Linked DNA regions of Tribolium castaneum. Each later gene encodes a partner of the first gene's protein in a complex. Links are inferred from orthologs where the notes say so. Each region holds a gene or a part of one and is shown on either strand. Other genes may lie near its edges.

Region 1 (8,694 bases):
CACAGTTTTGCTAAGTTTTTTTGGCTCCTTCTCCAGTTTCAAATTGTTTTATTGTGGTTTTTCTGATGTTTCTGTTTTTTGCAATTTCTGCATAATTTAATTTTTCCGCATTTTAGTTTTTATTTACTTTCTTTTATCTACATTTTATGTATTATCCGATCATTTTATTTTTTATACTTTGCATTTATAATACGTTTATTAACGTCTATCAGTAGGAGTCGTTTATGGCCCATTAAAGTACAGAGTACTTTAATGAATTTAGGGGTATTTAGTATTCAAGAGTTTACTACCATTACCAATTGACACAAAATTACCTAAACGACAAAAAAATTTCATTAAAATAAGCAAAAAAGGGGCGCAAAGTATAAAAACAGCATAACATACTCCTTTTATAAGGGTTTGCTTTACCAGTTTTAAATTATTTTTATGTTAAATGATGTTTATGTCCTTTTTCATTAATTTGTACTCTTATCTGTATTCTGTTTTTTCTGTCTTTTGTTTCTTCATTTTATCTTTGACGTTACCTAGTCAATGTTTTTAATAATACCTCTCTCTTCTACTTCCCCTCTCTCTATCCCCATTTTCTCTTTTAACTAGTTTTCTTTTTCTGTTATTCTTAATGGGTTGTTTTCGCATTTTACTTTTTGATATTTTTTTTAATTTTTCTAATTATGACATATGTCCTTAATATTTTTTTATGTTTTTAATCTAAAAGTTTTTTGCTTTTCGCCTTTTGTCTTTGTGTTTTGTTTTGTATATCAAATATATGTATATTTTCGGATTCTTTTCTCCAACTTTAACAAAAAAGTGGTCAGGTACAGCATTAAATTTTCACTAATAAGAGATAAAGGAAATATTTTCGAAAAATATGGGACGAAATTTTCTAATTTTTAATACGATATTTTTTTTCTCATGTTTGTCGTGAATTTGGAGTCCAGACGCACGAAGTGGGTCTCTGTCGTAGTAGGCATATTTTTTCTGTAGAACTAATAAATAATGGTTTTTCGTAGTGAGAAGGCGGATATAGCACCGCTTCTTGACGTCGACGACATGGTGGCCTGCCGTAAACCGGATTGGAAATGTGTCTTCACCTACGTACAGTCCATCTACAGACGTTTCAAGGACGAAGATTGAAATTTCGACAAAAATGTTCCTTGTATTAGTTTTAGGCTCCTACTTCTTCAATCAGTTCCTTGCGTCTACATTTTACCACAAATTGTTGTTTGTAAATTCGTTTTTTATTGCTTTAATTAATTAACGTGTATGTTATTGTTCTGTGATCAAGTTAATGTATTATGGCATTTTCTTATAGGTGATACTGTATGTAATTAATTTATTGTTTGACGATCTGCCCAGCGGTTTTTTATAACAATATTTTTTCTACTTTTTATGCAGATTTAACGATTGTATTAAACGCTTATTTATTAACTTACATTTAAGGATGATTTTATCAAGGGTTGTTGCTTTTGCCATGAGGTATGTAACTAATAAGAGTTAATACAAGTAATTTTTTTATATTGATAACAGTTTAGAAAGAGTCGTTGGTTTATACTATATTATGGAAACTATTAATATCAGTGCCTGCATGAGTAAAAGACAATAATCTCAATTTGTTGCCTAAGTTAAGCTATGTGCCTTGTAAAGTCTTTATATATTTTATAAACAGATTTGTACTTGGACTAAACTAATAAACATATATTAGCAGATCTTCGTTTTGTTCACCCGTTGTACAATTTGTCTATAAATGAATATGATCGTAGTATTAACAATTTGCCGCTTCTTTCCAGAAAAAAAAAACAAAACAAAAAACAATGTTAGTATATGAGAAATTTAGTTTACTGGTTGCCTGATGAGATAAAAACTGGTAATTTTAAGAAATTTCATAGAAATATGATGATGAAATGCGGCAATTTCAAATTCCCGAACCACCTGAAATCCTACACTTTTTATAAACATTCCGTACATTTCTGTTTTTAATAAAAATACAAAATTTTGAGGAGTAATTCCAAAGGTCACAAATTCTTAAGTTAAAAAAGAAAAAAGTTTCTATAGTAACGTTATCTACAAAAATATAACCCAAAATCCGTCCTGTTTTATATGACCAAAGCAAGGACGTTAACCTCCTTGGACCGAAGGAACAGAGAATGGAAGACAAAAACGATGAGAGAATACATAAAGACATTAGTAAATAAAGAAGAAGGAAGGATGACAGGAGAATGAAAAAAGAAAAAGAGAACAGTGATACGCAAACCAAACACAGGAAAAAAAGAAGATGTAAAATAACGTAGAATAGAAAGGAGAAAACCAAACTTAAAAATCTGGTATCTATTTTCACTGCAGTGTCTTCGAGTGCATAATTATTACTTAATTATATCCTGATTTTCTATCGGTGGACACTTCAACACAAAGCACTTTGCCCCTTCATACATGTAAATCTGGTTTTAATTAAAACTTGTGGGAACGACTTTGGTTTTTCACACTCCTCTTCTTATCACTTGATTACTATTTAATTAATCAAACATATTTAAAACAACTAAAATCAATAATTTTTTAAAAAGGATGAAAAATGCCACTCGTATTGTCACCGTACGCAGGTAATTGTTTTTTTACCATGTTTGCTAAGTGTTATCACATGGCTCAGAGGTTGTCTTTGATTTTCTATGTATTTTAAAATGACAATTATAGCGTTTGCATTGTAGCCCTTTGCTATATTTATTCTACTTATTATGTTTGGCTCAATGGACCAATTTGTACCATTTCAAGTAAATATAAAAATTAAGATTTTTACGTAACACATCTGTAAACATTTAGAAATACATATAAATTTATTTGGATTTTTTTGGCGTATAAATAAAAATTGCAATGAAAATTATAAACAACGTAGCGTCCATTGGACATTGGACACATACATATGCAGATGAAGGTTAAACAATTTGCGTTAGTGTGACTTCCCGTTTTGGGGATGAACTGGCCGATCAGACCGCCAGATCTGACGAGCCAAACTTTTTCCTTTGGACTTTTTGAAATCTCGCGTTTACCATAACAATCCACAACCTTGCAAGTATTGAAAGGTAACATTGAAAAAGAAATCAACAATTTGCAGTCAGATATTTAGCGAGAAACAGTTCAAATGCTGTAACATGAGCTCAAATGTGCTCGAACTCTGGAGGTGGTCATATAACCGATATCATTTTTTCAACTTAACGTCATCAGTTTTACAACTTTTTATAATCTTTCCGAGAAAACAGAACCCACTTATTTTTATTTTTAACAAAATGGTAGCCAATTTACATTGTGACAATACTTTAGCCCCACCCTATATCATGGATGTTTTTATTCAAATAATTTGATTCGACAAATTTTGTACAAATAAAAACATCCATACCTACAACCACTTCGGCCAAGTTCGAATATTCTTTGTAATGAATTCGGAATGCAACTTTAATATACAGTACCCACACATCTATTCCATTATCTTAACCAAGTTGGTTTCAAGAGTCTTCTGTATCACTCTAAGTTCGCCACCAAAAAATTCATTCACTTTGGATTTATACTTTTGCTGGAAGCAAAATTTTTTTTTTTTTTTATTTGATAGCCTCGCAGAGTTGGAAATCCTAGATGTCACTTTTCAACCAAGGAATAAAATAACGTATTTCCCGACCCCAAATAGTTAGGAATCGTCATATTGTTTAAGGGTTGATGATAAAATAAAACTTAGTGTGAAAATACTTTTTATTTAATGCACAATATTATCATCTAGAATGTGATGTGGCACCCCACTAACGTAAATGCAAAAAACCTAAGAGTTAGACTTAGCAGCCGCTTTCATGATCGAAGCTAGCAAATCAGGATCTGGTTGTTGTTGGCCCACCCACCACATACACAGCGCATTTTCATAAACCATTGCAGTTCTTGTATGATGAAGAGGGTCTAGAGGATGGTGCTGTCCTGTAGCGGTTGCAAGAATCGGTCGATAAGGATGTAAACTTACGCCGTTGCAACTGTCACTATGCAGAGGCATCTGAAAGCGTTGATCCCCAATTAATTATAACCTCTTACAAAGTCTTCGTTGTTACCAAAAGTTGAATTTGTCACTGTTCCTAAGGACCTCACTTTATTTATTTTACATAAAATTGAAAGAAAACAAACAAAATAAAGAGTGAAACAAAATGAGACAAAGTATAGAGTCCTGGGAACCTGTAAGTATTGGTGTAACAACAAATAAAGACAAAATGATTTTTTTTAAATTATGATTCAAATAGAAACGTGACTAAATTAGATACTGAAAACATGAAATAATTACATAAGAGGTAATTCCAAAGGGTACTCACCTGCATGTGTACGCTTGGATAGGTACTATCGTGAACATTCCAAACTTGCACCTTACCATCCGTGCCCCCTGAGACGAGCCAGTTGCCACACATGGACAGGTCAATACTGATTTTTTGGTTGGTATTTGCTTCGCGTGTCAAACAGAACATTGGCCGACCTGGCACCTTGAAAATCAGCCATGTTAGAAACGAAATTGATTTTTTTCGAATGTGTTTTCCTTTTTGTAATTAGAATGTTGGGTTAACAATCTTACTCGTAGATCCCAGCAGATGATTTCTTTATCCTTTCGCGCGCCGCTGTACAGCCGGAAGCCGTCCAGTGAGAAAGCCATTGATGTAATGCCCCCTCTGTGGCCTTGCAACTTGCACAGGTGACGGAATGTACCGTCGCTTTGAGCTACCAATTCGATGGTGTTTTTCCAGGTACCTAATTAAGTTACTACGTTATTTTGATTTATAAGTTTTGTTGGAAACAACCTATTGCTACAACGCCGGGCTGCGCTTGACTAGCCACCAGACAGGAAGCAGGATGCGTCGTTGGATACTCGACAAACTCCCGTCCCGGTCGACCGGTACTAAAAATTTTAACATTCTTCTTGTAACCACAAAATACATTCTGACCATCAGCTGAAAAAGTTACGCTTATTGCAGCTTCCAGTTCATCGACATTGTTGTACCCTCTGTATGAACACCGCAAATTTCCTGTGAAAGCGTCCCACAAATGGATTGGGCCTTCATGACCACTTGATAACCAACTGGAACAAAAGTTAGAATTATGAGCAAACTGTTTTGACGTAAAGTTTTATCATTTGTGCGTGTTTTTATAACGAAACTACGACTGCAGCCAAACACTATTCTCAACGACCTCAGCAAAAAATATAATTATCTCCTGTGGGAAATATATTTTCTGACGAAGCCGGCGAAAACATCATGTGTATAACACTGAAGGAAAGCCTCTTTTCTCTTCTAGAGAGGAATACATATCTTTCCTTCGTTTTGTTAGTACACAAATAGCTATTTACTTGCAACTACCATAATAAGTGTTTCATTAGAAGATAACGAAAATCAAACGGTAAGTAATCTGAGGATTTCGAACAGATCCGAAGAATCTATTTGGTTTGGTCCAGCTTGTCGTATTCAACAATATTCGAGGATTCTGAATCTGTTTTTTGTCTATGGGCGTTAGTTTTAAAGATATCAGTCCAAGTTTGCAAATAAGGTTGCCAAATGTTCAGTTCTCACCAAGACAGTTCAGTAATATAAATTGCTGTTCTTGTCGGATTACAAAAAGTCGGATTCTTTCGGTAATTTTTGGAAATGCTGCATTATGTTCTTTTTTTGTTAAAATATTTATTTTTCTACAATCCATTATCCACAATAAACATTTGCGCTTCGAGTTCGAGTTAAAGCGGCAAAATAAAACGGTACAAATTAAATGCACAGTATTTTATTTAAACGACATATATTTTTGATCAGTAAAAATAATAAATGCACAGTACAAATAATAACTGCACAGTAAAAAATAATAAATGCACAGTAAATAATAACATTTCAAAACTAGAGAGTGTAGAATTCCACATTTCGAGTTTTACGTTTTCGAGCTTAATCGTTCGAGGGGTATGTTTCCTTTTAGTTCGCTGGGGCAAAGCCCCAGCCTGCAAGCTAGCTACTGAGCGTTTATTATTTAAACTGTGCAAACTGAAACTATATACTGTACATATACGATTTTTTTACTGAGCAAATTTTAATAAAATACTGTGCATGGTTTACTTGTCATTTAAATCTTTTACTGTGCAAAAATGATTTAAATACTGATCATTATTATTTTTACTGGACCAAAGAATGCGATCAACTGGTCGTTTGGATCCCTTTTGGATCTTTTACCAAGAGAATTTCGTCAGCCCAGAGGTACGAAAACCGTTGCTGCAGAAGAAGCAATTTTTAGAAGAATTTCTGAGGAGTTCATGAACCGAATTCATGCCGCTAATGCTACGATCACCCCAGGAACGCTATTACAAACGGTGCATGCCAAAACTTTGAGCATTTATTATAATTTTTAGTGCATTGTTTATTCGTACTTGAAATTGTTTAAAATATCATTACAATAAATAAAGTTGTTCTCCGCTCTGTTGCATTCAGCGACATAAATAAAAATTTTAATAATGAGCAAAATAGTTCGACTTAGAGTTCCTTTATTGGGAAATTTATTTATTGTAAATATAGGAACTCTAGAAATTAATAGAGGAAATTAATGGTGCTATTCTCTAACTTCTGTTACTATGCAATTGCTCTATTACTGTAAAAATTACAGCTGTTATTTAAATTCGTATTCCGTAAACTCTGTTACCCTCTGTTAGTAACATTTCTACCGCAACATTCTCTGTTAAATAACAGCGACAAAAATCTTTCCATAAACTAACAGTGACAGTGACAGATCGTGAATTTTTACGATGTTTCAACAAATTAACAAAAAATTGCATTAAAAATGTGATAAGTGGATAACACTAGAAGCTTAGAATCACGCAAACAATTCGACCTTTGGTTTTTGAGGTACAGGAAACGAATAAAGGGGATAACACTGGTCTTAGAAAAAAATCAACTAGTATAATTATCCATAATGTTGCAAAGGTAATCTTTGGCAACCCTAAGGGGCAAAGAACACAACTTAAAATTCGTCAGGAACCAAAATTTGTATAAACAAAAAAATTAACACTGTGTACTCTTCATTTTGGAAACATTATTCGGTGAAATTAAAACAGAATTTTTTTAATTTGTATTATATATTTCAAATTAAATTTTTTGACTTTCAATAGCTATTTCGTTTCTTCCAAATTCTGTTTCTCCCTTTTATTTATTTTGCGTTTTGTATAGCACAAAATAAAATAATTCGATTTCAATTTGATTACCTAATAACTAATCAGACACGAGATCCCACAGAAATTATCTCAAAACAAAAAATGTGATTTTTTTTTCAATAAACAAGGATATCATTTGCCTTGATCTGCACTCGTCTTCTGCATTCACTTTTTTTTAACATTGTAGTGAAACTTTTTGCGATACCAAATTCGAAATGATAATTTTATGAAAATTTCTTGACATTTTCGAATAAAATATTTGAATCAAGTAGTAAGCCATACGTCAAAATCGACTTCCAATATCTCTAAAATTACATTTTCGAACAAATGGGAACTCGGTGACCCTTGAATCTTTTGCAAAAAAATAAGTATTCTAGCTTTATCCAGAAGGAGGATATAATAATGTAAACACAAAATTTGACCACTTTTAAGTTTTTAAAAAATTTTTATAGAAACGTCTTTTTCATAATGAAGGCAATTTTAAACAATAAATATAACTTAGGATTCGAAATCAGGAGAAAATTTTGCATAAGAATAGTTTAAAAAAACCTATGTCTTCCAATCTAAACAAACAAATAAATTATTAATTATTGCGAGCTACTGATGGACCTTTTTCTGGCCAGTTGACGTAGAGTGTGGCGGCAATTGTGAACAGTTACTATTTAAAACATGGGGTGTTATACTAAAAAATGAAAATTTTTACATGGATAGCCAATAACAAAATAGGCGACCCAGATTTTTTTATTTTAACCAAAGCTCCACCGTTTTGGAGAAAAATAATTGAAAAGGTGAAAATTCCTGGCCTGACGTCAGCAATGTTGCTGTTTGACAGAACTAGAGATAGAAAACTTGCCAACAAAGATAGCTTGAAAGATGTGCTTCAGGAGCAGTCTGCAGTCATTTTACCAAAACACAAACTTCTGCAAAATATTAGCACACAACACAGTCGCAGCGTTAATTGTATGCAGGAAAAACTGACGAATCATTAGTCGTGACATTGCTTACGTCACAGCGCAAATTTTCTATTATTACTAAAAAAGTACCGATTTAAAATAACTCAGACCGATTGTACTAGGACATCATTTTGTGTCTACTTTCAGAATCTACAATTTCCAAAAACTTTTACTTTTGAGTATAACACTCCATTCTCTCCCTTAAAGACCATTAAATTAAATTAGCCAGATAAAAATTAGTACCAGCTTTAAATAAAAAAAATACTATTTACGATAATGCCAACCTGACGTCCCTTTGGACAGTTGATTATACGAAAGAATCGACTATATGTTATACATTTTGTGATTAAAAAAGAAATGTACTCCAACAAGGACAAAAAGAAGGCAACCGGAAATAGGAGAAAGTCTGATCTGAACAATCAATAATCAATATTAGTAAAGGATAAAATGTTATCACACTTTAAACTGTTGGGTTCAATTTCAACATTCGTAATTTGACAGTCATTTCCTTCCTCTTAGAAAACCAGAATGCAAAACATACCAACACGTTGCTGG
Region 2 (8,280 bases), on another chromosome or scaffold:
CTCTAATGGGCAAGCGCCAACGTATCAACAAATTTGAGTTGAATGCAATTGAATCCAAACTCCAAATCATCGAACACATCGTTGACATTGGCATAAACTGCCCCACGGCTCTTTCAAAAAATCGCTGCTCCTCTCAGGTCAAATTCATACTCAAGATTTTGGAACGTGAGGACAACTACGTAACGGATCAAGAAATAGACGATATCCCGTACGAATTGAACCGTTTGTCACGAATCGCCGAACTTGAAGAAATCGAAAGTTCGCCAAACTTCCTCCAACGATATTCAAATTCTTCCACAGTTAGGCGCGTTACCGAACAAATTGAAGGCTTTCTCTTCGGTTTCGGCAAGTTTTATGACCAGGATGAACAAACGGTCAAGGAATTATTGCAAGAGTTGAGTCGATTGGTCGCGTCGGGAATAGGAATTTCAGAACAGGAAAAAAGGGAAATTGTTAAAGCCATGGGTTTCAGGCAAGGGCATTGGTTCAAGTGCCCCAATGGCCACCCTTACTGCATAGCTGACTGTGGGGGCGCAATGGTGGAGTCAAAATGCCCGGAATGTGCGTGCAAAATAGGGGGAGGTAGTCACACACTGCGCGCCGATAATGCGTTGGCTTCTGAAATGGATGGAGCCCAGTTTCCCGCTTGGTCGGAAACTGCAAACAATATGGGCAATTTTTTGTTAGATTTCGATGATTGATCCAGTTAATTAAACACGATTATACTTTATTGATTTATTAAATTTATTATTACAAGTAGTTGTCTTATTAATGGTGCTTATTCGCGTTACATGTCAGACTTCGGACGCTTCTCTACCCAGTTCTTGATTGCTGGTATTTCCAAAACGCTTTTTTTCAAAGCAACAAGGTTCGGATAGTCGGCGATTATGTCGCTACCGCACATAAAACACAGATATTTCAACAGGGCAACAAAGAATAAATCGGCCCATGTTAGCTGAAATAATAAAAGTGGAATTCTGTAACTCGAGACAAATTTATACCTTTCCAACGGCAAGATGTCCATTGTTAGCCTTGACAATGGCATCCAGACGTTGCAAGTAATAAGGGATGGTCTCCTTAAATAGGGGCTCTTTCCTAGATTCCTTAACAGCTTCGTTTTGCTCGTAATGGTAAAGGGCGATTTCTGTTAAACAGTTGAAAATTTTAGAAAGTCCTGATAAAATATTAAGACGGCATCGAAATGTTTTGCTTCCCAAATATGCGTTGTAAAAAAAGTTTCTTCTACCTCCAGATTTCCGTGAGAAGTTTTTCTGCATTCTCGAATTTTTTTAACAAATAATGTAAAATGTTAAAGCGAACTGTCGCTGTAGTCTTTATATTTAAATTTTGAGGGATTTCCGGTTCAATTTTATTTTTGAAACCGATCGTCACCACTTGAGTCAAGCAACATTTGAAGCAAAATCATTTTGCAGTGAATTTATTACAATAAATAAATAAATGCACACCAAGCGACCGATATGAAACGAATTCAACATGTGTTTTGTTCGATACTTTGCCATTATTTTGGTTAAAAAGTCATAAAAACGAAAGCGTATCAATTAACTTGAACACGTCCTAGCTATTTGTAAATATAATTGCTCACTTTGGCGCAAATCGCTGATGGTGTCCACGATGGCGTCGATTTCCAGATCTTCCCAATCGTCATTGCCGACTAGTTTGACCTTTTTGGCGAAAAATCTAGCCATGGCAACACTTTGGTGTGCCACCTTCCCGTTGTATTCCAAAATGGGGACTTGGCCAAAGGGCATGTCTGAGAGTATTAAAAGTATTGTTATCAATTAATTAATTAAGGCTTGGGAAAGATTACGCACTGGGTTTGAGTTGGGGCCAGTTTTCGCGGTCGAAGCGGTGGTCCTCAAATTCGATTCCGCCGTAGTTGAGGAGGAATCTGATGGGTTCGGCGAGGGCCTCCACTGGGAAGTAGGTTAATTTATATGCAGGAGCCATTTCTTCTGGAAATTAAACACATAACTGTTAAATACTGAAAATGGTGGAAACACCTGTTGTATTGAATATGTTAATTGACTTGCGGGTGCGCTTTATGCAAGCTCCTTCCATCATTTTCAATGCGTTAATGTGACACTTACGTGACAAGTTAATTCTGTTTTTGTTTTATGGTGTTAATTCAATTAAACGGTTACCATAACAAAAATCGATTTTGTGGCAGCTATTTAATGAGTGTTGTTACACCGAGAGCGGAAAAATCCTAACACATTACTCTTATTATAACATTTTTCATACTTTCATGACTGGTAAATGCTGGAGATATCAGTTTCAGATTCAGTCAATTTTATGATAAAGATTTTGTCCTATAAGTATTACACGGCCCTAGAGTACAAGCTGATACCAAAGTTTTATAGTTTTTTAAGTTCAAATGTAGTTACAAAATAAAAAGATAAGAATACAAATAAGAGTAATATTAATCTATGCGTTGCTAGGGGGAATGATAACATGTAGATCACTTGTAGTATTTTTAAAGTTGATATAAAAAGCAGTAATCTTTACTTTCTTCCTCGTAAGCGATAACATGCGAGTATGTGAGATAGAGAATATTGTGTGATATTTTTTGACTCCAAGAAAAGCTATTTGTATTTTATTAAGTTATCACTAATAATACAAATATGTAGTAGCGGATGTTTAATAATGTAGGTATTTATAAGATAATGCAATCAATAAAACATCACTGGTTTGCAGTGGTGACTCAATTGAAAAAAGGTACATTACACTGCAGAATTTTTGATCAAAACATTTTTTAGATAATGAAATTTTGTAATGTTTTCTCAAGGAAACGAACATGAAAAATGACTAGCAGATTTGTAACAAAACAAACAGTGCTTAAGTATTATAGATATTATACTTATAAGACCTAATAGTTTTCACAAATTTATGGAAGTTTTCATTATATTTTTTAATAGTATAGGACAATTTATTCAACTTGGTGTTACTACAGTAGGTAGTAGAATATTACGTACGGATATTTTTTTGTTAGATTATAAGTATGTAGTATCAAATAATAATAATTTAGGAGTAACCCAAATAAAAAATATTTTATAAGTGATTTTAACGCATTTAAAAAGTTACTATAATATCGCTGAAAAAATTAGCGTTTTTATTTAAGTGGAAAAGTTTTATATTTTAACGCAGGAAAACCCTGATGTACATTTACTTGTGTTTTAAATTTTAATTTATTTCACAGATGTTCTTATAGCTTATAAAAACAGCAGAAAGACCTTGATACAACGAAATAATATCGTAGCTCCCAACATCCTCCCACCCTACCTAAAAAAAATATTTTGTACAAGGTGGTATATATAGAGGATTCTTCTAAATTTGAAATTCCATTATTCAACTTGTGTTGCAAGTTTTTGTTGGGTATAATTACTGGTTTTTATTTAGATATAGTACCTATTAGATATAATTTATATCATTTTTTTACATACTTACTGCACTAAACAATACTCTGATAAGCCGGTTCACACACCTGTCGAAGCGTAAAATTTTAGAATTTCCGGTTAATACTGAACGAAACCTGTTAACCCCTTGTAAATAAAAAAAAATATAGGTACACCACTTAACCAAAAATCAAAAACCAGTAAAAAAAAAATTACGAAAATGGACACCCCAACATAAATGTGAAGTGACTAAGAATTCATCATTATGTGGCCTAACAAAGTAACTAGTACCTATTTAATTTAATTGAGGGAATTAATGGTTAAAAAAAGAATGTGTAGTACTTACCAGATGATAATAATTGTTGGAAAATGTTAATCACTGGCTATATTCGCAATGGAACCTTTCCCAGAACGAAGTCAAATAATTAATAATTATGCACTGTTGCTAGAATCAGCTTTAAATGGTTATTTCAACAAGAAAGGAAACCAATGGGAAGTGTGGGGCGTAGCAATATTTTGTTCAAGGTTAATTTAAAAATAAAATGTTTTTTTCCCTCAAAGTATGCAACTAATTATACACATGTGGTTTGAAGTTATAGCTTCATCTTCTAACTTTACAGTTTTCTGTTTTGATGGTAACTCAGAAAACTCCTAGAGGGCCCAAAGTTTAGGAGTGTTTACAGTTGGAGGTTACGTTTGCAGGAGAGGTTATGTTGCCGCACTGAAAATTTAGTGTAAACCACGTGTTTACAAAGGGACGCTCTTTTACGTTTCTAATTATTTGAGGAGTGAAACAAAATGTCTTTTCGTGGCCGAGGCGGCGGTGGTGGCGGCTTTGGAGGTCGTGGTCGTGGGGGCGGCGGCGCTCGAAATTTTGGTGGAGGCGGCGGGAGAAATAGTTTTGGTGGTCGCGGGGGCGGCGGGCGAAACTATGATCAAGGCCCTCCTGAGAGAGTGATTCCTTTGGGCTACTTCGATTACACCGTACAAGATGATTTAGTTGCTAAAGTAGAAATAGAAGACGTTCCATTTTTCAATGCGCCGATTTACCTCGAAAATAAGGAACAAATCGGAAAAATTGATGAAATTTTTGGAAATCTCAGAGATTATTACGTTTCGATACGTCTCGGAGACGACATAAAAGCTAGCAGTTTTAAAAAGAATCAAAAGGTATAAAAAAATTCACTTACCATTCACACATCTAAAATAATGTTTTGCAGTTGTTTATTGATCCTGCGAAGTTGTTACCACTTCAAAGATTCCTACCGAAGCCCCCAGGCTCAGTCCAGAAACGAGGCGGTCGAGGGGGAGGTCGTGGGGGTGGCGGAGGCCGCGGTGGTGGCAGAGGGGGCGGCAATCGCGGCGGGTTTGGAGGAAGAGGAGGCGGCAATTTCGGTGGACGTGGGGGTCGTGGGGGCGGCGGCGGTTTTAGAGGTGGTCGTGGGGGTGGATTTGGCGGCGGCCGAGGAGGGGGCGGCGGCGGCAAGAGGTGGTAGACTTGAAATTGTGACCAATGTTTTTTGTGGTTGGCAATTGTTCCATTAAGTGTATGAAATTTTTATTACGAAAATAGATCTATGAAAAATAAGAACTACAGGTTATTTCAAATTTTTGTGTGAATATGTCAGCAAACAACACGAAATGGATGGTGCCACTGTTTGACAAAGTTAATAAATAAAGAATATTTAAAAAAAATTTAAACTGAAAACAAAACCTTAATCATCAAATTTTGTATGTTTTGCTTTCTTTAACAGTTTGTCTCTACCACGTTGTTTCTTTTTTGCTTTGTTTAGTTTATCCTCACGATCTGTTTTAATTTTTTCCCAATATGAAGATTCTTCCTGTCCTGTTAATACCTCTTTTTTGCCAAAAGATTCTTGGGAGCAAAAATTTTTAGCGCCCTCCGTGGTGTTAAATCTTACATAAATGTTCTCACTGCCAGGGTTTGGAATATCTACGTACAATATATCAGCTGAAGAAGTTTTAATTTCATTCTGAAAAACGATTTATCGCAAATAAATTGGCCAAGATATTTAGTTTAGAAAATTTACCTTAAGTTTCTTTATATCCAGGGTAGCTTCGGTTAGCTTTATTTTTACAATAAGTCCCTTGGTAAAATCCTCTTTGTTGAGTTCAGTCTTAGCAGTGGGAGTTTTCGACTTTTGTTCATAATTTGGTTGATTAAACTTGGCTTTTAGAAGGTGTTTTTTAAACTCTTTCATTTTCTTCTTTTGTAAATCTAGATACCGATTTCGCATCTTTTTCCACTCTTTTCTAAAAAACAATTATTTATCAATGATTAAAGATAATTCTAGCTGCTTCACTTACTTTGATAACACTTGGAGGCCCAATTCTTTTATGTAATTTTTCTTTTTGTGTTCTTTTTTCAATTTCTTCTTTTTCTTATTTTCGGCATCGTCCGACTCAGAAACGTCTCCAGTATCATGTTTTGAATTTTTTTCTTTTTCGTCACTTTCACTGTGTTCATCATTTTCTTCAGTGTGCTTACTATCATCGACTTTCATTTTTTTCCCTTTTTCTTCACTTTCGCCGGATTCACTTTCTTCAAGTTTTCGTTTTCTTATTTTTTCCTCCGCTTTACTCTCACAGTGTTCACTATCTAGTTTTTCGCTATTCTCACTATTGTCTTCAAGTTTTCGCTTTTTTGTTGCCTTTTCGTCTTCTCCAGATTTTGGCTTCAGTGTAGAATTTTTAGAGGAAGCCTCAGATTGTTCATTACTTTCTTCAAATGTTTTAATACTACAAAGAGTTTCTGGTTCTGTATTTGACGGCATTTTGCAGCCAATGCTTTCAAAGTAATTTAAAGCATTTTGCGCTTCCTTTTCTTTCTCGAATTCGACAAAAGCAAAACCCTTTATGGCACTATTGTTTTTGTATTTTGGTATAGAAACGTAGACCACATTTCCAAATTCAGAAAAAACAGAGTTCAACCATTCATGAGTTGCATCGGATTTTAGGCGTTCTACATAAATCGTACAATCATCAACGTTAGCCTTTTCTTTAACCGGTTTTGTACGACGAATTCTACTACGATCTTCTGATAATTCGATTAACTGCGACTTTTGTACAGCTTTTTGGATATCATCTATGCTGGTTGTGAGTTTAGTAATTTTGTTAAATTTCAAAAATACGTTCAGGTCGACAACTGAAAAAAGTGCTTGGTATTTACCTACAACTACTCATAAAATAATCATATAGTCACTTACAAGGATTCTCCTTTATTAATTGAGATAGAAATCTATCTTTGGTGAGGTTAGAGTCGCTAAAATAAAATTCCATTTGCTGCAAAATGGAATTGTAGAGTTGCTTTTTTCGATGGCGACCTTTTTTAAGTATTGAATCGTCGTGTGCATTTGCATTTTCTTTCGTTTCATTTTCCATTTTCAATACTTTGCAGAAGTAAAAATGAAAATTATAACCTAACTTAGCGTTTGGAAATGAAATTGAAAAAGAAACTGCCGCCAACCATAGAAAAAAAATATTTGTTGGAGGTAAATTTGGTTGCCTAATTAAAAAAAATGTTTTTAGAATGCAAAAAAAATCATTTACTTTTTAAATTATACGCCGCTTACTCTTATTCATAGGAGATAGCTCTTATTCAAAAAATAATTATGTTTAGTTGTATCAATTACACCCATGCTACTCCTAGTGCATTGTGTGCTGCACTTTTTACCTAATCAGGCGTGAAGTCTTAAGTGAATAACTCTATGTATTTAGTTTAGATTATGAAAAAAAAACTTTTATACTTTATTAACTAATTTAATTAAGTTTTACCATGAATTTGAATAGTACTTCAAATCGTTTCAAATAATCCATTATGTGAAACTGAATACTCACCTTGATTTCATCTTTCTTAGAAACGAACTATAAAGTCACCGATAAAATGATAAAAGTAAGTTGTTTATTACATTAAGTTACTTAAATCACTGACATACTTATATTGTTTGCCTTATGGATTGTGAAATTTAAACATCAGCACGTATAAGTACTGATGTTATCGCCTTAGCAACATATAAGCCACCAACTTGAGCAATCTTACAATAGGTTTAAATTTTATGAAACCATAAGTAAAATTATTCATCAGATTAAATTACAACAGTCATTTAAAAAAAACATTTATCATAACTAACTCATAGTATCTTTGCCGATGTTTTTTCGTGCTTATTTATTATTTAACTATGTACTTTTGGAGATGTTTTTATCTTTTGGCTTTTGGCCACAATTAATGAGGCAAATTCAAAATAAAAAGTTATAGTATGTACATTTGCAAAGATATTTTGAAAAACACATTAATTTTTTTAATTGTTAGTCCTTGCAATTTTAATTTAATTCTGGTCTAAAAGAATCATTGATCCACAATATTGATCCGTAAATGTATAAGTTTTTTCTAGTTAAAAGTTTAAAATAATACGAAATACAAAATAACAACAAACAAACAAAGAAAACAAACGTTAGAATAACTACAACTTGTCCTATCCAAATGTTTATAACTACTTTTTGTATTTAGATACACCAGCTATCAATAAAAAAAGTCAAGTGACTTAAATTAAAACTTTGTACCCTATTCATATCATTTATGTGTGTACTTAATTGTACTCACATTGTAAAACGATTTACTGATGTCATTGTTTTATTAACAAGTAGATAACAAGCATTTAAGTCATCAAGATAAATTAGGCTTAAGTCTTTTATCTAAGTCACTCAAACTAACGTCTGCATGAAGTTTTAGCAGACGATAGGCAAGTGGATAATGTTACAATAATTATAAGCACGTTCAATCATCATACAACCTGAATACCTACTTATAGATTATTATTTATCTTTTTGTCAATTTTTTTCCGATTTC

What was found.
Region 2: WDR79 (region 1) and Gar1 share a complex: the UniProt entries of both Homo sapiens proteins name them as parts of the telomerase holoenzyme complex. The link is inferred for Tribolium castaneum from reciprocal best matches to the Homo sapiens genes WRAP53 and GAR1.

What each region holds. Positions count from the first base shown.
Region 1 is NC_087399.1:12,226,525-12,235,218, forward strand, and holds the end of WDR79 (telomerase Cajal body protein 1 homolog), read right to left. Parts: coding exon 8,681-8,694; intron 5,087-8,680; coding exon 4,809-5,086; intron 4,759-4,808; coding exon 4,586-4,758; intron 4,497-4,585; coding exon 4,332-4,496; intron 4,283-4,331; coding exon of another isoform or gene 4,271-4,282; exon of another isoform or gene 4,022-4,270; coding exon 3,800-4,021; 3' UTR 3,715-3,799; downstream 1-3,714. Other genes in the region: uncharacterized protein LOC657834, read left to right, coding at 1,011-1,134. UniProt on the Homo sapiens protein: RNA chaperone that plays a key role in telomere maintenance and RNA localization to Cajal bodies. Specifically recognizes and binds the Cajal body box (CAB box) present in both small Cajal body RNAs (scaRNAs) and telomerase RNA template component (TERC).
Region 2 is NC_087394.1:30,497,915-30,506,194, forward strand, and holds Gar1 (H/ACA ribonucleoprotein complex subunit 1), read left to right. Parts: upstream 1-4,211; coding exon 4,212-4,583; exon of another isoform or gene 4,584-4,633; coding exon 4,634-4,909; 3' UTR 4,910-5,114; downstream 5,115-8,280. Other genes in the region: NFX1-type zinc finger-containing protein 1, read left to right, coding at 1-701; glutathione S-transferase, read right to left, coding at 788-955, 1,002-1,144, 1,604-1,771, 1,833-1,973, 2,022-2,082; Larp7 (la-related protein 7), read right to left, coding at 5,129-5,407, 5,465-5,687, 5,742-6,579, 6,641-6,815. UniProt on the Homo sapiens protein: Required for ribosome biogenesis and telomere maintenance. Part of the H/ACA small nucleolar ribonucleoprotein (H/ACA snoRNP) complex, which catalyzes pseudouridylation of rRNA.